3 linked regions of the Tamandua tetradactyla genome follow. The protein of the gene in region 1 interacts with the protein of each later gene in a pairwise test. Links are inferred from orthologs where the notes say so. Each region holds a gene or a part of one and is shown in the gene's direction. Other genes may lie near its edges. The genes, in order: CNOT1, CNOT4 and CNOT11.

Evidence for each region.
Region 2: the proteins of CNOT1 (region 1) and CNOT4 interact in a two-hybrid assay, tested with the Homo sapiens proteins (3 studies listed by BioGRID and IntAct, with this or other methods). The link is inferred for Tamandua tetradactyla from reciprocal best matches to the Homo sapiens genes CNOT1 and CNOT4.
Region 3: the proteins of CNOT1 (region 1) and CNOT11 interact in binary tests that used the Homo sapiens proteins (3 or more experiments, as listed by UniProt). The link is inferred for Tamandua tetradactyla from reciprocal best matches to the Homo sapiens genes CNOT1 and CNOT11.

The regions. Positions count from the first base shown.
Region 1 is NC_135342.1:52,306,378-52,314,332, reverse strand, and holds the start of CNOT1 (CCR4-NOT transcription complex subunit 1), read left to right. Parts: upstream 1-4,873; 5' UTR 4,874-5,186; exon of another isoform or gene 5,187-5,296; intron 5,297-5,563; exon of another isoform or gene 5,564-5,658; intron 5,659-7,955.
Region 2 is NC_135327.1:178,202,504-178,210,542, reverse strand, and holds the start of CNOT4 (CCR4-NOT transcription complex subunit 4), read left to right. Parts: upstream 1-5,030; 5' UTR 5,031-5,484; intron 5,485-6,190; exon of another isoform or gene 6,191-6,213; 5' UTR 6,214-6,276; intron 6,277-8,039. UniProt on the Homo sapiens protein: Has E3 ubiquitin ligase activity, promoting ubiquitination and degradation of target proteins. Involved in activation of the JAK/STAT pathway. Catalyzes ubiquitination of methylated RBM15.
Region 3 is NC_135343.1:6,824,525-6,831,645, forward strand, and holds the start of CNOT11 (CCR4-NOT transcription complex subunit 11), read left to right. Parts: upstream 1-4,104; 5' UTR 4,105-4,192; coding exon 4,193-4,706; intron 4,707-7,121. UniProt on the Homo sapiens protein: Component of the CCR4-NOT complex which is one of the major cellular mRNA deadenylases and is linked to various cellular processes including bulk mRNA degradation, miRNA-mediated repression, translational repression during translational initiation and general transcription regulation.

The DNA.
Region 1 (7,955 bases):
TGTTCATCATCATGATCATTTCTCAGAACATCTGCATCAATTCAGAAAAAGCAATAAAAAGAGGACAGAAAAAATTCATACATACCATCCCCCTTACCCCTCCCCTTCACCAATCACCAGTATTTCAATCTATTAAATTTATTTTAACATTTGTTCCCCCATTGTTTATTTATTTTTAATCCATATGTTTTACTTGTCCATCAATAAGGTAGACAAAAGGAGCATCAGTCACAAGGCTCTCACAACCACACAATCACACTGTGACAGCCATATCATCATACAATTATCTTCATGAAACATGGCTACCAGAGCACAGCTCCACATTTTCAGGCAGTTCCCTCCAGCCTCTCCATTACATCCTTTTTGTTTTTAAATACCAAAAAGCACCAAACACAAACATTCTTAACTTTTGACCTTCCATTCTACATATATAATCAGTAATTCACAATATCATCACATAGTTGCATATTCATCATCATCATCATTTCTTGGAACATTTGCATCTATTCAGAAAAAGAAATGAAAAGAAAACAGAAAAAAATTCATATATGCCATACCTCTTAACCCTCCCTTTCATTGACCACTAGCATTTCAAACTAAATTTATTTTAACATTTGTTCCCCCTATTATTTATTTTCATTCCATATGTTCTACTTGTCTGTTGACAAGGTAGATAAAAGGAGCATCAGACACAAGGTTTTCACAATCACACAGTCACATTGTGAAAGCTGTATCATTATATAACCATCTTCAAGAAACATGGCTACTGGAACACAGCTCTACATTTTCAGGCAGCCTCTCTGTTACACCTTAACTAAACAGGTAATATCTATTTAATGTGTAAGAATAATCTCCAGGATAACCTCTCAACTCTGTTTGGAATTTCTCAGCCACTGACACTTTATTTTGTCTCATTTCACTCTTCCTCCTTTTGGTAGAGAAGATTTTCTCAATCCCTTGATGCTGAGTCTCAGCTCATTCTAGGGTTTCTGTCCCACGTTGCCAGGAAGGTCCACACCCCTGGGAGTCATGTTCCACATAGTGGGGGGGCAGTGAGTTTGCTTGCTGTGTCGGTCCAAGAGAGGCCAAATCTGAGCAACAAAAGAGGTTCTCCTGGGGGTGACTCTTAGGCCTAATTTTAAGTAGGCTTAGCCTATTCTTTGCAGGATTAAGTTTCATATGAACAAACCTCAAAATTGGAGGCTCGTCCTATTGCTTCGGCTGTCCCCACTGCCTGTGAGAATATCAAGAATTCTCCACTGGGGGAAGTTGAATTTTCCCCCTTTCTCACCATTCCCCCTAGGGAACTCAGCAAATACTTCCCTATTCACTGTTCGAATCGCTCTGGGATTTATCTGGGCATCAATCTGGACAAACCTACAAAATCTCATGCCCTACGCAAGGTTCCATGTAATATGGTGTTCAATTAAGCTGTCCACATAAGTTATATTAGGAAATGCGCGAGTCAAACTATAAATTTTGTACCAAAGAAACATTTTTTGGTTGTCTCACACATAGGTTAAAGTTTTCAAATATTAATTACCATCTATTTTCAACACCCTGCATTACTGACATTCCTTTGTTCTTCCTCATGCAGAAACATTTTTAAATTTGCACATTTAGTCACTATCATTATACACTCTAGGCATTCCTAGATTATACCACCTCAGTCTTTATTGTCTATCTTTCCTTCTGATTTTATTTGGCACCCAGAATTCTTGACACATACTTGATGGACTCTGATCTCCAGCCTATCGGGGGAATTCTGTAGGTCCTGTGACTGAATACACAGTGCACTTGTGGAGGGTGAAATCCCAAGAGTGGCTTTGTGCAGCTCTGGGAGAGGGGCTGGCTGTGGCTCAAGGGTCTGGAGCAGCCTAAATTTAAAATAGCAAATCATTTTCCTCTCAAGGATGGGCTGAAGTGGGGAAAGGCACCTCAACTTTATCTCAGCCGATCTTTATTTCAGGAGCTCTAGGTTTGAGACCTGAAAGAGTTGTAGAATTACACAGTTGATCTTAGTTGACCTCTATCAGTCTCAATTTCTACCTCTTTTAAATTACACAAATACAACATGAATACTTTCTTTTGTAAAAAGTTTAAATAATACAGTAATACACAGGATAAAAAGCAAACATTCCCTTTACCATTCCTCATTACCATTCCTTTCCCCAGGGATAAAGGGATATCCGTTGGGTAATGTAGCTTTCTAAACCTTTTAATATATTTAGTTCTATGTAAATACAGGAATATATAGTTATTTTCTTCCATACAAATGGTAACACTGATTTTATTACCATTCCCTTTCCCACCCAATCTTCACTTTTTAAATTTAACAAGAAATCTTGGTAATCATTCCATATCACTAGCTATAAGTTTACCTTTTTTTAATTAAAAAATGTTTTTTTAATTGTGAAAAATAACATATATCAAAAAACCCATAAATTTCAAAGCACAGTGCACACATTAGTAACAGAACAGATTTCAGAGTTTGGTATGTGCTCTAGTTTGCTAGCTGCCGGAATGCAATATACCAGAAATGGAATGGCTTTTAACAAGGGGAATTTAATAAGTTGCTAGTTTACAGTTCTAAGGCCGAGTGAATGTCCCAGTTAAAGCAAGTCTGTAGAAATGTTCCATCAAAGGCATCCAGGGAAAGATACCTTGGTTCAAGAAGGCTGATGAAATTCAGGGTCTCTCTCTCTCAAGTGAGAAGGCACATGGTGAACACAGTGAGGATTTCTCTCTCATCTGGAAGGGCACATGGCCAACACAGCATCACCTGCTAGCTTCTTCTCCTGGCTTCCTGTCTCATAATGCTCCCCAGGAGGCATTTTCCTTCTTCATCTCCAAAGGTCGCTGGCTGGTGGACTCTGCTTCTCGTGGCTATGTTGTTCTGCTTTGATCGCTCTGAATCTCTTTCATTCTCCAAAGTGTTTCCTCTTTTGTAGGACTTCACAAACTAATCAAGACCCACCCAAATGAGTGGAGACATGCCTCTATCTAATCCAGTTTAACCACCATTCTTGATTAAATCACACCCCCAGGGGATGATCTAATCGCAGTTTCAAACATACAGTACTGAATAGAAATTAGAAGAAACGGCTACTGTTACAAAATGGGATTAGGATTAAAACATGGCTTTTCTAGGGTACAGACATCATTTCAAACCAGCACAGTATGGGTTACAATTCCACAATTCTAGGTGTTTCCTTCTGGCTGCTCCAAGATGCTGGAGACTAAAAGAAATATCAATATAATGATTCAGCAATCATATTCATTTGTTAAATCCTATCTTGGACTCTGTTATAACTTCATCTTCTCCTTTGATCTTTCTCCCAATATTTAGGGGTACTTGGGCTATGTCCATTCTAATTTTTTCATGTTGGAAAGGGCTGTCAATAATATGGTATAGGGGAATGGAACTAGTCGATGCACTGGAGAGGCTGGCCACTCTGAATTTCAGGACTTATCCAGCCTAGGAACCTTCTGGAGGTTGTAGGTTTCTGGAAAGTAATCACAGTGCATGGAACCTTTGTAGAATCTCAGATAAATCCCTAGGTATTCTTAAGGGTTGGCAGAAATGGTTTTGATTGGAGTTTGGCAAACCATGATAAACAGCAATATCTAGTTGAAGCTTGGCCTCCAGAGTAGCCTTCTGCCTCTATCTGAACTCTCTCAGCCACTGATACCTTATTTGTTACAATTCTTTTCCCCCTTTTGGTCAGCAAGGCATTGTCGATCCCATAGTGCTAGGGTTAGACTTATTCCTGGGAGTCATATCCCACGTTGCCAGGGAGACTTTCACCCCTGGATGTCATATCCCACATAGTGGGGAGGGTAACAATTTCACTTGCAGAGTTGGGCTTAGAAAGAGAGAGGCCACATCTGAGCAACAAAAGGGATCCTCTGGAAGTAACTCTTAGGTATAACTAACTATAGGTAGGCTAACCTTCTCTGCTGTATAAATCAGCTTCACAAGAGCAAGGCTCAAGCTCAAGGGCTTGGTCTGTTGACTTGGGACAGTTTGGGACAGTATCAGTGTTTTCCTTGGTGGTAAAGTTTAATAGTTCCATATTTTCTCTCCAATCCCTCAAGGGACTTTCCCAGTACTTTTTAAATATACGCTCAATATACTCTGGGATGTATCTGGGCATTATATTAAGCTATACAGAATTACAGGCCTTCATTCCCATTCTGAGGTTCCTGTGTTTGGGTTGTTTAAGTGATCTATCCAGACTGGTTGAGTTAGATTATGTGCTACAGAAAACTTAGGTTCTGGACAAAATAAAACTAATTTTTTTGGTCTCAAAGAGTATAGCTGTACCTTTCTTTTTAACAACTTCATTGTGTTCCAGTACATGGCAGTACAATACATTTATTTACCATTCCCCTATTGTTTTCAATCTTTCTGCTCTTTATAAATAATTCTTCAATCATCTTTGTGCACACGAATAAAACTGGGGAATAAATCCCTAGACATGGGATCAATTACTGGGTCAGCGGGTCTGTGCATTTTTAGGTTTGATAAACTGGGCCAAAATACTATCTATACAGATTTTGTCAATTTTTATCACCAGTAGAAAAAGAACTGTCCCTTTGACTTTTTTCCCCAGTGTAAAAGGATAGAAGTGACCTTTTTGATAGCGGTTCTAGGGCTTAAATCAGGAAGAGAACTTTAGCTTCCTAATTCTCCATAAGGCGTCCCTAAATCTAGGTGAAAGAAGTTCCCTTGACTGAAGCGGGACAACCTATGACCAGGTGAAGGTCCTGGAAGACTACATTCCCCAGTATGCACTGCTTCTCCCCAGGCGCTGCCAGTGACGAAAGTGGACGCGTTAGATTTGCGTCAGGAACGGGGGGCGGAGGAAACTACACATCCCAGGGCGCACAGCGCCACCACACTAGTCCTAACCTGGCTTGCTTCCCGGTTGTTGGCGGTCCTCGCCTTACTCCACAAGGCGAGGAAAGGGACAGGATCGGAGGAGGATGTTTAGGCTTGAAAGTCCTGTAGTCGACCGGACTGTGACACTACGAAAAAGGAAGGAAAGTGGAGGAATGCTGTCTAATGCCGAACTCAAAATTGTTACCGCGTAGAGTGGCGAGGGGCTGTGGACCACCTTTCCTTACTTATTGTTTCTCGGAAGCAATGCCAAGGTCCCATTGGTCGAAGACCTCGAGGGCAGGTGGGACGTCCGTGGACCCTGAAATCGAAGTTATTTGTATCTCTCCATTGGTCCTCGCTTCGCGCGCAGGCGCGAGAACGCTAACTCCAGTCCCTGGGGACTGGTGAGCGGCAATTGGTCAAAACCCGAGAAGTAGGAGTCCGGATTGGTAGTTGCTAGCAGGAGCTTGGTTTCTTCCTTGACTTCTGCAAGTGATGGGGCTTGATTGGTTTAAATCCGCGGGCACCTGTCGGTGATTGGGCGGGCACTATGGGCTGGGTATGATCATTGGCTGGTGGTCGGGCCATCCCTCCACGGGCGGGCAACGAATGGTGAAATGGGAACGGGGAGGGGAAAGGCCGCGACGTGAGCGCGCGACCTCCGGCGCCATTTTGTAGAGAAACAAGCGGAGTTAACCGAAGAGGGGTCGAGGAAAGCCGGAGTCGGGGGACCCAGGAGTTTCCTGTGTCCAGCGCCGCCGGAGCTGCCTAAGGTGAGGTGGGTTTGGGTCAGGGGCCGCCATAGGCGGGCCATGTCAGCTACGGAACGCGAGAGCTTGGGTGAACGCACAGGGGGTGGTCCTAGGGCCATTGGAAGCGTTTCCCAGAGCTTCGAGGAGCGAGGGGCAGCCGGGACGGGAAACTGGCCAGGCGAGGGAGGGCGGGCTCTCTCCACCGCTCGCGGCACCTTCAGGTAGTGAAAAGAAGCGGCCGTCCCGAAAGCTCTGGCAACCGGATGGCAGAGCGCGGGCTGCGACCCGGAGTGGTCCCCCGGCCCGGGCCTGGAGGTTCTGAGGGCGGCGGTGGCGGCAACTGTTCGGTCGGCCTGGGCCGCGCTTTGCTCGAGCTGCATCCATCTCGGACTCCACCAGCCTTCCGCAACTGCTTCTTCCTCTCCAGGCTCTCAGATGGGTGTAGTGGGCATTGGCCCCCGAGGCCTAACTCCATGGGCAGGGGGGACAGTGTTTGGAGTTGTTACTGACTCCCAGTTCTTGTCCAAGTACCGGGTGCTGCCGGTCTTCCCCTAGCCCCCAGCACGTTGTCAAATCCCCATGTTTCGGGTGTCTGTAGGTGGGAGGGGCGAGCGGGAGGGAGCGAGCACTTCCTTATTACTTCTGGTCACAGGTTTACTTCCACTCGCGCGCCCGTGCGGTCAGACTTTGTCCGACGTCGACCCCCCACCTACCCGCCCGGTGTCTCCCTTAGCAGCGGTCTTCATCCATGGGGAGTCCCCCCTAGTGAGCTGAACACTTGCAGGCCTCAGTGCTGGTGAGACAGTTGCTTTAGATCTTGCAGGGGTCACTTAAGGCCGAACACACTGGAAATATCCTTTTCCAGTGCTCAAACAGATGTGACCCCCACGAGGCGTAAGCTTTGTTGGTTGAAACACGCACGCAACTGGTTGATAATGTGTGTTTGAAAATGTGTTTAAAGTAAACTTTATTAACAGAGAAGTAAATTATTGCCCCTGAAGTCACTCGGTCAGATGTCACATTTCTTAGGACTTTAATTCAAGTCTGTTTTCTTCCTGAACATTCTGTACCAATATTTTATTTCCCTGCCTATTTCCTTACAATTCAATTGTCTGTGACGACTTGGGGATTTCTTTAACAGTCGTAATTGAGTGAGTTTGAGTATTTGTTTTTGAAAGAGATTCTGAACGTCTCGTTCAGACGTTCGATAGGGATAGTGATACATGGATAAAAAAATGATGAGAAAGGCAGTAAAAATTCTGAAAGTATGTCAAACAGATTAAGAACAAATTTGTTTTTGTTAAGTATTTAGGTTGGAAAGTGATTTGTGTGAGGTTCCTTCTCTTCCAAAGATAGGCAGTCCTGCATTTTAGATATTAATAAGGTGTATGGTAACAGTTTAAATAGTCTTGTTTTAGGACTCTGCAAATTGTTACCTTGTCTAAGGGAAAAATGAATTGATGATACTTTGAAATGGTGGCATGTGGATAAAACTTGTTCGGAAAGTTGGAAAATTTGTCCCATTTCAACAAGAGAGGGTCACAAGTCATTTAGTGGAAATTCAAGTCTAGAATCAAGGCACAAAGACTTGACCATTACATTATGAACTGAAAATATTTGCCTTTCTTATCTAAGTCTGTGATCTTAGAAGTTTTTAAGGCAAGGTTTTGTGACATTGTGTAACAGAAGTGAAATACTCTTCCTTGGTTTCTAAGGCAGTTGGATGGATGCCTGGTTTAGTGTTTTTTTTCTTTCTGGTCTCTAAATTTCTACTGGAGGTTTAAATCCTGGTCTCCCTAACCTGTACTGTGACATCCTCTTGCCTTTGCGTTAAGTTGTTAAAAACAAAACTCTCTTCAAAAAGTGCTTTAAAGACTAATGTCTGGTGAATGCATAATTCTATGATTATACTAAGAGCCATTGCTTGTACACTTTGGGTGGATTGTATGGTGTGTAAATAAAATTGTTAAAAAAGAAAGACTTCTTAAAATTTCCTTATATGTTGCTTTTCCAAGTGTGCTGTTTTTGGTTAAATTCTGTTTCAGTTACAAGAAGCTTTTTTGTTAATGAGCTTAAATTTATGAACTTGATTCTTTATTTAAATCATTCTATGAGGTAAAAAATCTTTGGCACCCATTGCCACCACAGAAGGGAATGGGTCCACAGTAATTCTAATTGAATGTATTTTAAGATGGTGATTTTTTTTGTACAGTATTTATGTTTCTTGAATTAACAAAAATAGTAATCTGCCATTTTGAAATGTGTTATCTTGAGAATTTGATATATTCTCTTATGAAAGAACAAAGCTAACTTTTAAG
Region 2 (8,039 bases), on another chromosome or scaffold:
TTCAGGGAACAACTCCTCTATATTCCCTGTGGGCCTCTCTCTCTGAAGGTAAACTTAGAAGTGGGAATTAATAGGGAGAAATACAGTCTTTATCACTGCAGTTGGTGTCAAGGCTGCAACAGTGTTCACCCTATCCCTTTTAACCTGGTGAAGATCTTCGCTGACTACTCTCCTCTCCCTCACCAATCTAAATTAGTACCCCCTCTCATACTCTCTCAAAACATCTTGTAAACACTTTCCATAGTATTCATCACCAGTCATAATTAAATTTAAGGGATTATATTTATGTTTATATATTTATATTTACTTATATGTATGATTATTTAATCTGCTGCCTCTACTAGGCACTATGCTCTATGAGAACAAGGAAAATGTTTTATTGCTCACTGTACTTCTATTCCACCAGCACCTAGCATAATACCTAACACAGAGAAGGAGGTAAAAACATATATAAAATAAACAGATTCCTCCACACTGAGGACTCATGAGGCAAGCTAGGTAACAGAATTTAATGTTGATTAGCATTTAAAATTATATGAGAATTAGTGCTTGCTTTAGCGGCACATATACTAAAATTGGAACAATACAGAGAAGATCAGCATGGCCCCTGTGCAGGAATGACACACAAATTCGTGAAGCGTTCCATATTTTTTGATGAATTTTGTTCTGAGTTTCATCCTACTCCAAGTTATTGAAAGCGTATAAGAATGAGCTAAATAAGCACAAAGAAGCTGGTATAGGAAGGAATTTGGCCGATCGGTGCACCAGTGACGTCAGTGCCTCCATGGTTCAGTCCCAGGAAGAAATGATTGAAAATTTGAAGCCATTACTTCTAGCTGGTATAGAGAGTAAACTATACACATTGATCTCGTGCAAAAAAATTGATCTTAGCTATGACCTAAATTGCCACAAATTATGCTCTGATTTTCAAGAGGATATTGTATTCCATTTTTCCCTGGGCTGGTCTTCCCTGGAACATCGTTTCTTGGTCCCTAATAATGCTCAGAGGTTGCTCCTTGGATTACCAGAACATATCTTTCAGCTGCCTAGATCTTTAGCTTCTACTCTCACTGCTTCTACCAGTCCAGCAATGCCAGATAATGCATCACAGGAAGAACTTATGGTTACCTTAATAACAGGATTAGCTTCTCTTACATGTAGAACCTCTATAGGCATCATTGTTGTTGGAGGAGTGATCTGGAAAAGGTAGGCTGGAAACTCATATCTGCTTCTTTAAGTATGTATGGAGCTTTGTGCTTTATGAAAGACTGTCCTGGACCACTCGCCCCAAGGAGAGAGTCTTTAAACAGCAGTTTGTGAACGGTGCAACCAAAACTGCAGATGATTGTTAGCTTCACAAGTGCAAACTGCAGTCATCAAGTACAACAGAAGGCTACCACTTTTGTGCACCTGTGCCAACAAGTTGATATTACTCAGACACCTGAAAGAAAAAAATGCTAGATTATCCAAAGAAATAGATCAGTTGGAGAAGATACAAAATCCTTCAAAACTCTTAAGAAATAAGGCTGTTCAATTTGAAAATGAGCTGAAGAATTTTACTAAGCAGTTTCTATGTTCGAGCAATGAAGAAGACTCTTAACAATAGAGTGCTTTGGTGAACAGCATAGGAGGAAACAGAACTTGTAAGATTGTGACACTTGTAATTTTATGAAAACACTTCAAATATGAAATTCTACTAACTGTACCTAAATAGCAAGTCCCTGTGAAGAGTGTGATAATGATCTATTTCAGGGTGTTTGCATTTCTGAAGAGTATTATAATGTATTGATGTCCTCGGTTTTAATTTTGGGTAAAGAAAAGTCAGGTTATTTGATGTGTTAAAATAATGAATTCATTAAAAGCAGCAGAACCAACTCTGTGACACTGAGGGTTGGGACCTTGAGCTCTGTGCTGGTTTGAAATGATGTATGTACCCTAGAAAAGCCATGTTTTAATCCTAATCCATTGTGTAAATGCAGCTGTTTCTTCTAATCTCTATTCAGCATTGTATGTTTGAAACTGTAATTAGATCTTCTCCTTGGAGATGTGATATAATGGAGAGTGGTTGTTAAACTGGATAAGGTGACGACATGTCTCCACCCATTCACGTGGGCCTTGATTAGTTTCTGAAGTCCTATAAAAGAAGAAACATTTTGGAGAATGGGAGATTCAGAGAGAGCAGAGCAGAATGACACAGCCACAAGAAGCAGAGAGCCCACAAGCCAGTGACCTTTGGAGATGAAGAAGGAACATGCCTCCCCGGGGGCTTCATGAAACAGGAAGCCAGGAGAAGAAGCTAGCAGATGATGCCGTATTCGCCATGTGCCCTTCCAGATGAGAGAGGAACCCTGACCGTGTTCACCATTTGCCCTTCCAGATGAGAGAGAAACTCTGTGTTTGCCATGTGCCTTCTCACTTGAGAGAGAAACCCTGAACTTCATCGGTCTTCTTGAACCAAGGCATCTTTCCCTGGATGGATGCCTTTGATTGAACATTTCTATAGACTTGTTTTAATTGGGACATTTTCTTAGCCTTAGAACTGTAAACTAGCAACTTATTAAACTCCCCTTTTTAAAAGCCATTCTATTTCTGGTATATTGCATTCCAGCAGCTAGCAAACTAGAACAAGCTCTTAATTAGGGTTTTTTCCTATTTTGATTCTGAAAAACTCTGCTTCCTGGCATCCAGGAGTTCAAGAATGCTCCTCTCATCTTCTTTGTCAAAACTTATTTTTGATGCCTACTAACGACAATAGTCACTTTTTTGTTCTTTCATTAATTGTGCTGCTCTAACCACCAGTTGAGGAGTATGGAATGTTTTTGAGTGTATTATTTATGCAAGTTACAATCACTTTTGCTGTCAAGGCAGATATGTAAGCCACTAATAAATGTGCTGTTTTATTCTCATTAAAACTGGTGTAAAAAAATTATGAGAATTAAGTGTTGCATGGACAAGTCTATATGAAATTAGACACATATATATACATGAGGAATTGGTAATATAATGTAGTAAAAAAAGCATTGGCTTGAGAGGGTGGTGACAAAGTCACTAACTAGTTGGCAACCTAGGAAATACCATTTCCTTACTCATAGGTCTCTATCACTTAATGAGTCTCAATAGGTGTGGTATTGTCCCCAAGTGTTGGATACTTGGGGGAGGCCCTACCGGCCTCTAGAGTGCAGAGGCCAGGTATGCTAGACTTGGTGCAATGCAGGGACTATTTCTCACAATGAAGTGTTTCATGTCCCTCATGACTTTCAAATGTCCTGCTCTAGATGAAAAACCTGTTTAAAATGATCTTAACCTAAAACATATTAAAAAAAAAATCTTTATTTTACATATGAACACAAAGTTTTTAAAACATAGTTCAGGGAATGCATCTACTATGAACAGTGAAGAAAGACTAGTGTCCACCAGAGATGGCCAAATACTGTACTTGTGTCAGTATTTGTAGCTGTCACTTTCATTGGAATTTTATTTATAAGTGCAAGCAAATGATGATTTTGTTATTTTCTAACATTGTCATGTCTGAGCTTAACTATATATATTGAAAATCATGTATTGTGGACGGAGGCTATATTACGTATATATTTCATCTTAGGATAACAAAGGACAGTATAACAATATTTGTTATTTAAAAAAAGTCTGGTAAGATAAGGTGCGAACCATTGGATTAGATGATGCTTAAAATGCCATCCAGTTTTACTGCTATGGTTCTAATCTTCAATAATAGAAATGATCCATTTCTTCTTTTAATTTCATTCTTTTTATTACTTTGTTTTTATTACACTATAAAAAGGATTATCGACACAAGAAAAATAAACATATTAAAAAAATACATATCACCTATACTGAATGTTGAGGCAGTAAGCTGCATAAAGGTAGACCCCAATGATTTCCCAAGTTTCCTTATTAGGTAGTCATTTCACGATTCTACAATTTCAAATTTATGGTAAATGTGAGTTTATACATTTTATGATTATACATCTTAATTTTTCACCAAGTAATTATTGGTGAAGAAATTGAAACATAAAGAACTAACTTGTATTTTTAAAAAATGTCAGGTTAGGTTCATATCTCAAATTACAACCTTTTCCCTACTCTTCTCCCTTGTTTTAAAGTTCTTCCTTATTAGTTTTGACATACCATACATTTTTAATAATATATTTAAAAAATTGATTTGCCTTCTCTTCTTTCTCCCCACACAGTAGAATGGGGAAAGGGAATCTCGTCTGTTTAGCTCACTGTCTATTCCCACCTTCAAGAATAATGCGGGGCACAGAGGCGCTCGATGAGTACTTGTTCTATGAATGGGTGAAGAATACACGCAATAAGCAAAAGCGACTGTTTCGAGCGCCACTTTCACCGGCGTTCTAGGAGGCCACAGGAGGGACTAGTAAAATGACTGATTTTTATGATTGAGAATACCCCGACACTCCTAGGGATTGCGGATGCCTTCTTATATTCTTTGGGATATGGTGATGTGTGCGGAGCTTGTTTTGAATTTGGCTCACAAAACCATGCAGGGGAGAATAAGCTGCAGTAATGTGCATCGAGTTCCGCATAATGTTCTCACATTTACATCATTAGAAATACATGTCTTATACGTGTATGGGTCTTTAAATCCTGTGTACACTGTGCACAGGACAATTTCCGATAATTTTTTTACCAGGAGACTTGCGGCGAAGATGGGATTTAGGGTGGTTACTGCCAAAGAATACAGTTCCTCCAAAAAGAGCAAAGATGGGGAGACGAGTAAACGCTCACTTTCCGAGAACAGAAGCCAAGTCAGTATCAAATTCTCACCCTAGATCAAATCCCGCGCTCCTCCTACCCACGACTTGTCTCTATCCCGCCTCCTTCAGATCTGTGGTAGGTGGAGCAGAGGACAGTTGTTCTCGGGTCCCCTCAAATTGGTTACACCTGCCTCGAGTTTGGGTATCCCATATTTCAGCAAACAGCGAGGAAAGAGAAAGATTAACGATACTGCCGCCCAAATGACAGTAGAGCTGAACACGCGGATAGAGACAGGGGCAAAACACGAAGAAAGGCAGCAGTCTAGCAGCCACGTGAGGTGGGCGATCCCGTCAGCCCTCGGAGTTAGAACTTCAACTCCCGGCTTGCAGCTGGGCGGTTACCCTCTGAGTACTACAACTCCCAGAGTGCTGCGGGAGCGGCCGCAGCAACCTCCCATTCCGTCGCCAGCCGCTCCTCCAGCCCCTCCCCCGCCCCTCCAGGCCTGATCGGCGTGCGCCTGCGCACGAAAGGCCGGAGGAGTCTTACCCTAATGTAAGATGGTGGCCCGTCTGGCTGTGGAACCCACCGAAAGCTGATAGTCTCTCTCTCAGCCGTAAAGGTCGGACTCGCTGAAGCAATCAAGCCTGGTTCTGAAGAGTATTTCCCCCGACAGTCTTTCAGTGGTCTCTTGTGTGGACGAGGCAGTGCGAGGAGTCGGCTAAGGGAAAAGCGAGGCAAGGCAGGCGGGTGAGTCTATGCGGGGCTGGGTTTAGGGGAAACCCGGGGCTGACCGGCTACGAGAGAGCGGAGGCTTCGCAGGGATTGAGCAGGCCGCACCCCCCTTTCTCCCCACCCCCCGCCTCATCTTCACCCTCCTCCTTGGTCTTCCTCCTCCTCCTCCTCCCTCTCTCCTCTACGCCACAGCAGTTACCACCAGGAAAAGGGAGCGGGGCAGAAGGCAACGGCGGCGGCGAGCAGCAACTCTCCTTCTAAAATTTCTTCATTTGGGAGGCCGGGGCTGCTTCTTCAGCTCTCTTCTGTATATTTTTGTTGGGGCAGGTCTTAGGTCTCAATACTTGTTTCTCCAGCTCTTTCCCTTCTCTGACGTCCTTCCCCACTGCCTCTGGTCTCCCAGGACCAAAGCCATCACTTCCACTCTGACTGGTGTTGCTGCTGCTTATTAATCCCACCGCTCTTTGCCCACTTGTCCTGCTGCTTGTTTTTTTCCTCCACTGCTACTACTCTGGAATTAGCCTTTGCCCCTCCTCCCCCTTTCTGCTTGCATTCAGCCCCGGTAGTCTGTATGCCACATTAGAGCTTCTTCCGATCTTTGCTTTAACCACATGTCATTTTAAAGCTGCCCCTTAAATACCTAGATTATACTGCTGCCCGATCTAACCCACCTGTTTCTCAGCCGTGGGAATTATCCGCCCCTTCCCTCTTTCCTAAACAGATTCTTTCAACATATAATTCCAGAAAAAGGGATGCTCCATGTTGACCCTCGAAAAGTCAAGGAAGTTGGGAAGTGAATGAAGTGAGGTAGGATACTATGAGACATCATGAGTAAAGATCATTTATTCAGACTACCCAGAAGAGGAACGTTTTCGTTTTGTTTTCAGTGATCTGTTTGTGGATTACTTACTCTGTTGGGATGTCTATTTTTTTTGTTTTGTTTTCATTTTGAACCGATTTCCCCTTACTAAGTGTTCTCCTGAATTGTCTTTCTCAGGCTACTTAATATGGGTTCGGATTATACCAGCAAATATTACCCTAAGCATTTCAACATAAGATAAATCTGGTGCACAAACAAAATTCATTTGTGAACTTCACGAGCAAATATGATTTTTTGATTATATGTGGGTTACAGATCCCTTCCATATTGTGCATTGATTATTGACCAAGTGAGTTATATTATTGAGCTTAATTGATATCTTATTTGTGGTTTGAGTGGAAATTTCCTCTTCTAATGTCATATTTACTTAGTATTTGTGTATTTGCAAAGTTCTCTCATTTAACACATCTAGAGTGGTAGTTATCTGAATAAATTGTCTTCTCTTAAAAATCCATTAGGTATGTTTGCAAAAGAAAAATGGTATTTCTTTTGCATATGAAATCCCTCATATTTTATCCATAGAAAAAAGGACTGGTAAAAGAAATGACAGAGCTGTGCACATAATATGCATTTCTTGACACCCACTGGCATTGTTACCTACATTGAAAAGCAAAAAACAAGAAACGAGAGATTGCTTATGATGTCCATGTTTTGGCAAAAACAGAAATTGAAATGGACTGGTTAATGGCATAATGGAAAGAAGGAGCCTTTACTACAGTCAGTCCACTGTGAAATAATTACCAGAAAAGCACAGAGGATTATATAGATCAGATACAGTCATCTCAAGTTTAAGCCTAAATAAGACCTTGTGTTCTTAAGATGTATGTAAAAATGTTTTAAGTCATAGTATCGATCTCAGGCAGCAATATATCTATCAAAAGTAATAATATCTTAAGTATAAATACAAATACAGTTACCCGTTAGTCACTTTTGCACATTTCATCTGTGAAATTTGAGGAATCTAACATTTGGTGTTATATTTACTTGATTGTGATGAATGGTCTATTTTATCAAATGGTAAACTAAGGTTAGAAAAGCTGTTTATAAAGCTTCTTTTTTCCCTGTTAACCATTTAAGCCCTGATTTGGGAAAAATAAGTAAATCTCTACTCTTTGGAGAATTGGAAACAATTTACATAGACAACCTTGTCTTAAGTTATAACTTGAAATTTTCTTGAAATATTATTTACACTTAGTTTAATCATTTGTAGCGTATATAATACAGTTAATCTTCAGCTCCAAGTAAAAATATATACTTCATTTTTCTTTGTAATATGTTGATGAAGAAACCTTTCTACTTTGAACAAGCCTGACACACACAGGTTTAGAAATCCTTGGCAGTGGAAGGATTCTAGGAGAGGATTGTTTGTCTGACAGAGGGGGATAAATGATTTTCATACATCATTTCTTTCGTAAAGATATTTGCCTCACTATTTTTTTCTCATGCTTTTCTGTCATTCTTGCTTATTGCCTGAAACCGTTAAATTTTTAGTTGTAGCCCTCTGAATCAAAATGAATTAACTTTGGGGACTTAAGGGTGTCTATTTAGTGTGTCTGTTTCTAAAGTTCTCCGTGATAACTTTGACAGGAAATAGGGCATTGAGATTTCTAAAATATTTTTGCATGGTTTAAGTTTTCAGATGTAACATTTTGCATATTACAACTTCATACTTTCATAGTTTCTTTGGATA
Region 3 (7,121 bases), on another chromosome or scaffold:
CACCACATTTTGGTTAAGCATCCGTTCTTGCAAGATCATGAATAAATTCTTTTCTTCTCCATAATCGGGTGAGCGTTTATTCTCTTTCAGGTATGGCTTTCTTTCTAACACAGCCTATTACCTACCTCTAGTGTTTCTGGGTTACCGGTTGGGGGGGTAACACCCACCTCCTTCCCCCCAGGGAACTAAACGGAAAGAACTTAGAAATGTAATTAAAAAGATGCAAGAACAAAAAGGAATTCTAGATGCCAAACACAACTAATGCAGATTCAAAGAAATGGCCAATTAATTAAAAAATCCCAGGACACTGAACTTCTTTTTCTTATATTAATGAAACGGAGAGAGCCATTCAACACGTAAACAGATGGTAAGGCAAAAGCATCAGCTATTAGAGAAGAGGGCGTGACAACTGTGGGGCAGCATGGTGTGGCTGACACCGGGGTATGGCAGGGTAAGGCAGCAGCCCCTCTCTGCTGGGAACAATGGGGACCCCCTCCCAGCACCATAATCCCCTCAGTACAAGGAACATGGGATGGCTGCCTCCAGAGCGATGTCTCCAAACTATAATATTACAGGAAAGTGATTGGTTTGGGACAGACTGGGTTAATAGACCTAATGTTTCCTGGGAAGCTCCGAACAGAACTCAGTGTTACGTGGCACCAATTTATGACCCCGGTTGTCCCCGGGTTGGACAGGCAGCTGCACTCTAGGACCACTCTGGTGTCAAGGGAGTATTCCTAAGACTTTCCTGAAAAGCAAACTCACCAGGAAAGAGGCGGGACAAGGAGTTCAGGCAAAGACTTTATCAGGGAGATACAGAGCCACCTGGGGGTAGACGCAGCGTTTCAAGAGAGAAGCAGCCACCTCGAGGTGGCAAGGGATAGGGTTTTTAAGGTTTAACGCTGGGGGTTGGGGGAAAGAGTTAGGTAAGGTTCTATTATCTAGTTTTCAGAATTAGGGGGTTAAGTTAGGAGTTGGCAGTGCTTCACTGGTAAAGTTAAAATTTAAGTGGTGCCTGAAGCATGCAGGGTTGTGATCGCCTTCTGCCTGTGGGTGGAGGTTGAGTAATGGGGGTTATTGTAAGAGGGCAGTTGCTGGAGCATGAAAAGGTGCAGGCTAGGGTGCGAGAGCTGTTTGAAATGTTTGCCAGAGGTAGGTCACATCATGGGGGGAAGGGGTCCTGTTCTCCAGGCCTAACATTTACCACTGGGAGCAAAATCTACCACTGCTAAAAGTTCCATGAGCCTGGTCAGTATTTCATTGGTACAATCACCTGGTCACTGTATTTCTGCCTTCATTAGGCATAGAAGATGTTATATTTAGGATAGAAGCACTGAAAAATTTTATTCAACAAGCTTTAAATGACAGCCTCAACAGTGTATCTCTTTTAAATAGTGAAACAACTCCAATGAGTAAAGCAGTACGACAAAACCAAGGGCTCCAGTTGTTTTGATAGCTTTGCAGGGAGGGACACATGGTATAATAAAAACTAAATGCTGTACCTATATACCGAATAAATCTGACAATGTAGTTAAAGTGTTAGGACATTTGAAAAGTCAAATTTATGTAAGAGGCTCTGGACCCCTCTCCTTTGGCATATTTAACTCATTTAGCTGGCTTTCCACAGGAATAGTATCTTGGTTTTGTTCAATATTACAAGCAGGACTAATGATATTACTACTAATAATTACAAACATACTTATCTTTAAATTCTGCCTCTGTCTCTTATCCCAGCCTTGCCCAGACAGTCCTCAAGATTGGGGGGAATAAATGAACAAGAGTTAGGAATTGTCCTGAGAAATTAAGAATTAACAAATGATTATGATTACTGAATTGTTATATCGATATTTTTTCTTATTATCTAGTATATTACAGAAGAGCCAAAAGGAAATAGCTGACATTACTGAAACCCACTGAATTGCAAACTGTAAAATCTTCAGGACCGGCCCCACCTTGTACCCCTTATTAGTCTTATCATCACAAAGGCAACCCCCTGATTTTAGGGGACTGGAGTCAGCTCAGAACTATTGACTTGTTTCTGTTTTACAAGTTCGGAGTCTTATAATCACAAAGACAACCCATTAATGTTAATGAAAGAAGCCGAGTCAGCCCTAACTTTAACCATTGGCTTGTTCTTGTAATGGTTATTCTAGTTTAGTTCTAGCCTAGCTCCACTCCTTTACATTTGTAAACTGTAGTTGATTAAACTTGTTATAATAATGGTAACAGCTCCATCTCTCCTTGTTTGAATCAATAAAAAACCCTAAACTCCTTAGACTAAAAGAGACAGATTTTTAGGCTGAAAGGCCATCTGAGCTCTCTCTTTGAAACTCCAGTGCCACAGACTGGCTGTGATACACATAAGACACAAAACCCCGGGTTTGTGTGAAATCAAATCCACAAAGCACAGCATTCTGAGGCCACTCTGTGCACAGGACAAATTGTTTTCCATACTGGTTTGGCCCTTGATGTCTTTACCGTATTATGAAAATACAGTTACAATGATGATGAAGTTAAATTGTGTTCTGTACAGTCGGTCTAAAAAGAGAGGGAAATTTGTGACCCATATGAGAAAGAATTAAAAAGGTTCAGTGTACTATTTCAGTTCCTAGGTATACTCAGTGATCAGATTGAGCTGATTTTCAGTGGGGTCCCAGGCTGCACTCAGTTACCAAGAGGCCTTCTGGGGCCCCAGAGCAAGCTCCTCTGGGCACAATGGGTGCGGCTTAATCTATTTTGCTTACTTCCTTTCAGTAATGAACAACACTGGCACATAGTAAATGCTCCAAAACAGTAGCAATTGTTAATGAACGCCCACATGCTGGCAGCCATGAGGTGGGTGTGGAGAACTACCTAGAACAAGTTTAGGTCCTGAGAGTTGGTTTCAAGAAACATGCAGGAAACTCTTGGATCATCTTAATCTTGAAAATGCAAAGAAAATTGTTTGGTTGCTTTAACCATTAATGTTCAGTCGTTTTGAAAAATCTTGGGAAAAACAGTAAAGCCTATTTATTTGTAGGTCTGATGATACAAACACAATCAAGTTTACTATGTTAAAAATAAAACAAAATGAGTACTTTCAACTAATCTGAACTGTTTTTCTCAAGAGTCCCAGCATGACCACGGTTATATTTGCTGCTGTTAGGTCTCTTTTTAGAAGGCAGTTTAGCAGTAAATTGAAGAAGCCTTCAAATTTGCACATCTGTGGCCCCAGAAATTTCACTTCCTTAAATTTTCTTTAAGAATTAAAATTAGGGAGATGCTTAACGTTTTAATACTTGACCTGCTTACATTGGGCAGCGCAGACGGAATTTCCCAAATTTGCTTGGTAAAATAAACTTTCTGTTGGTTTCTGTACCTGGAGGGAAGGGCCCGGCCAGTGCTTCGTGGCCCAGACTGCACTCTTGAGTAGCCGGGGGAGTTGTTTTGATTTCTTTTTGCTGTGAATACCCGAATCAGGAGGTGAGGCCAGGCGTGAGTGTGCCTAAAGCCTCCCCAGGAGCTCTAGCACGCGTAGCCACTGTCCGGAAGCAGCAGCCTAGGGCAGGCTAGGGGGAAAGTGGCACGGCCACAAATTGCGTAAACGAGTAACTACTGCAAACTTTTCCCGTAATACTGTTTAAAAAAAAAAAAAGTCCAAAATTTCACGGGCAGTACATTTTCATTCAGCAAAGAACGAGGATAAGACTGGAAATTAACTTCGATTATGAGAAATGGGGGGTGTCTTAAGTATGTGCATTGACAACGTTTTTACAGTCATCAATCTTGGATGTTATATTAAGAAAACTACTTAGAATCTAAAACGCGTTCTCCCTTAAACAACATACCAATATTTATCCGTACCTTCTCCGGCCAGGAACCGCCGTGGCGGCCGGCAGTGCCCGCTTCGGCTCGCAGCCGCGCACCAGATGAGCCCGGGCTCCACTGCAGGGCGAGACCCAACCCCCGCCCCCGCAGGCCCCGCCCCCGCAGGCCCCGCCCCCGCAGGCCCCGCCTCCCGCCCGACTGTCTGGCCGCGCTCCACCAGCCTCGGTTTCGTCCCGCACTGCCCGCCCTGCTCCGCGGCGTGGGATTTCCCCGGCGTTCTTGTTTACGACGCAGTCGTGCAGCAGCGCGCTTTACGACCGCGAGGACGGAGCGAGCCGGCGCCAGGCCCGCTGCGGCCGGGAAGCAGGGAGGGCGGGTGAGGTTGATGCCCGGTGGCGGGGGGAGCGCGGTGTCTGGCCGGCTTCTCAGCGCCGCGGAGCAGAGGGGGGCCCGGGAGGCGGTGGGGTCGGCGTCCAGGAGCGGCCTGGGAGGCTCGGGCGGCGGCAGAAGCGGCGCAGGCGGCCCGGGCCCGGGGAGCGGAGGCCCCGGGGGCCCCGCGGACAGGATGAGCCTGACCCCGAAGGAGCTCTCGAGCCTGCTGAGCATCATCTCGGAGGAGGCGGGCGGCGGCAGCACCTTCGAGGGCCTGTCCACCGCCTTCCACCACTACTTCAGCAAGGCCGACCACTTCCGCCTGGGCTCGGTGCTGGTCATGCTGCTGCAGCAGCCGGACCTGCTGCCCAGCGCGGCGCAGCGCCTCACGGCGCTCTACCTGCTCTGGGAGATGTACCGCACCGAGCCGCTGGCCGCCAACCCCTTCGCCGCCAGCTTCGCGCACCTGCTCAACCCCGCGCCGCCCGCCCGCGGCGGCCAGGAGCCCGACCGGCCTCCGCTCTCAGGTAGGAGCCGGGCGGGCGCGGGGGGCTCGGCGGCGCGACCCGAGCGTGCGCCGTGCGGAGTCAGATTCGGCAGCTTTCCATCTGCGCTGCTGAAAAATGATCCTCTGAAGTTGATCTCCCCCTTCCCGCCCTCTGTGGGTCTAATGTCCGGGCGGGGTGGGGTTGGCTTAATAACTAATTCACGGGACCAAAAATGACGCCTCTCAACAGTACAGGCTACCAGGTCTGCAGCTATGTGGGGCTTGACATTTTTAGTGCCTCAAATAAAGCCCGTTCGAGGTGTGTGGAGGTATAGCTCATGACGCTTTGGACCTGACCGGGGTTTTACGTCCCAGATGAGTAAACAGGAGTCAGTATTAAGAACTCGTCGAAGTTGTCGGCGGAAATACACATTAAGCAATATTTAAGGATTTTTCAGCTGTTTTCCTAGGTCTCTTAGGTGCCCTTGGATCATGAGATGGGAAGGACAGAGGATGGAAGGTGGTCTCAAACGCAGACTAGAAAATGCGTGACTAGTAAACATAAAATACATACTTGTACAGCATTGTTGAATCCGTGGGTTAGCTGAAGGGTTTTTGCATGTTTGTTTTTTTAAAGCTCAACTTGGAGATTTTTTTTTTTTTTTACGAGGATTTACTTACTTTGGGTGAAGACTTGCATCCATGTTAGGAAAAAAGCAGAGAGGGGAGATTATGGGTGGTAGGGGTATCTGGGAGATCTAGATGATAACTGTAGTGCACGAAGCAGATAGTTAGAGGTGGGAAACAGCTACATCTTTCAGCCCTTAACTAGTGTGAGAATGGGCAAGCCACACTATAGGTAGGGCTAGTTATGCATGGAACCAGAAAGTCAGATGAAAACATCACAAGAAAAGAAAATTACAAACCAATATCCCTCAAATAAAGGTGCAGAAATCCTCAACAAAACACATGCAAACTGAATCTAGCAACACATTAATAAGATTGTACAGGGCGGGCACTGGTGGCTCAGTGGCGGAGTTCTCACCTGTCATGCCGGAGACCGGGGTTCGATTCCTGGTGCCTGCCCCTGAAAAAAAAAAAAAAGAGATTATACATCCTGAACAAATGATTTATCTATTATAGGAGCATAAGGGTGTTTTAACATGAGAAAGTGCAAAACACCACATTAATAGCATGAAGGTAAAAAAAATAGCATTTCAATTGACACAGAAAAGGTGTTTGGCAAAATCCAGCACCATTTCTTGAAGAGAACTTAGGCATGATAAGGGGCATATATGAAAACCCACAGCTAAAAGTTAATGGTGAGGGCGGGCCACGGTGGTGCATCAGACAGAGTTCTTGCGTGCCACACCGGAGACCTAGGTTCCCTTCCCGATGCCTGCGCATGCAAAAAAATAAATTAATTAAAAAAAAAAAGTTGATGATGAAAGACTGAAAGTTTTTCCCCTGAGATCAAAGCAAGACAGGGATGCCTGGTTTCACCCCTGCTATTTAACATTGTACTACAGCTATGAGGCAGGTAAAAAGAAATAAACAGCATCCAAATTGGAAAGGAAGAAATAAAACTCTTTTTGTAAATGGCATGATCCTATAAATAGAAAATTCAAAAGAATCTACAAGAAAGCTTCTATAGCTAATAAGTGAAGTTAGCGAAGTGTTGGATTACAAGAGCAATATGTAAAAATCAGTTGTGTTTCTACATGCCAACAATTAAGAGTCCAAAAAAAAATTCCATTTACAATAGCAGCTAAAATAATAAAGTATCTAGGAATAATTTTTTTTTCACATGGGCAGGCACCAGGAATTGAACCTGGGTCCCCAGCATGGTAGGCAAGAACTCTGCCTGCTGAGCCACTGTGGCCCACCCTAGAAATAAATTTAATCATGGGTATATAAGACTTGTACAGTGAAAACTATGAAACATTGCTGAAATAAATTATAGGAGACCTAAATACATGAAAGATATTTTATGTCCATGGATTAGAAGACTTAAATTGTTAAGACGTCAATACTGTTCAAAGCAATTTACAGATTCAGTACAATCGCAATCAAAATTTTAGCAGCCTTTCTTACAGAAATGGAAAAGCTGACCCTCAAATTCATAATGGAATGACAGGGAGGCTTGGACTACCAAAACCATCTTGAGAAAGAAAAACCAAGTTGGAGGTACTCATTTGCTGATTTCAGAACTTATTACAGACTGTGTTAGTTAGATTCAGTTGTCAACTTGGCCAGGTGAGCATACCTAGTCTTGTTGCTGCGGACATAAGCCAATGGTACATGAACCTCATCTGTTGCCAATTACATCTGCAGTCAGCTAGGAGGCGTGTCTGCTGCAATGAGTGACGTTTGACTTAATTGGCTGGTGTTTAAATGAGAGATTGCAACCTAACACTGCTAAGCAGCTCCGCATTCCTCATCTCAGCACTTGCAG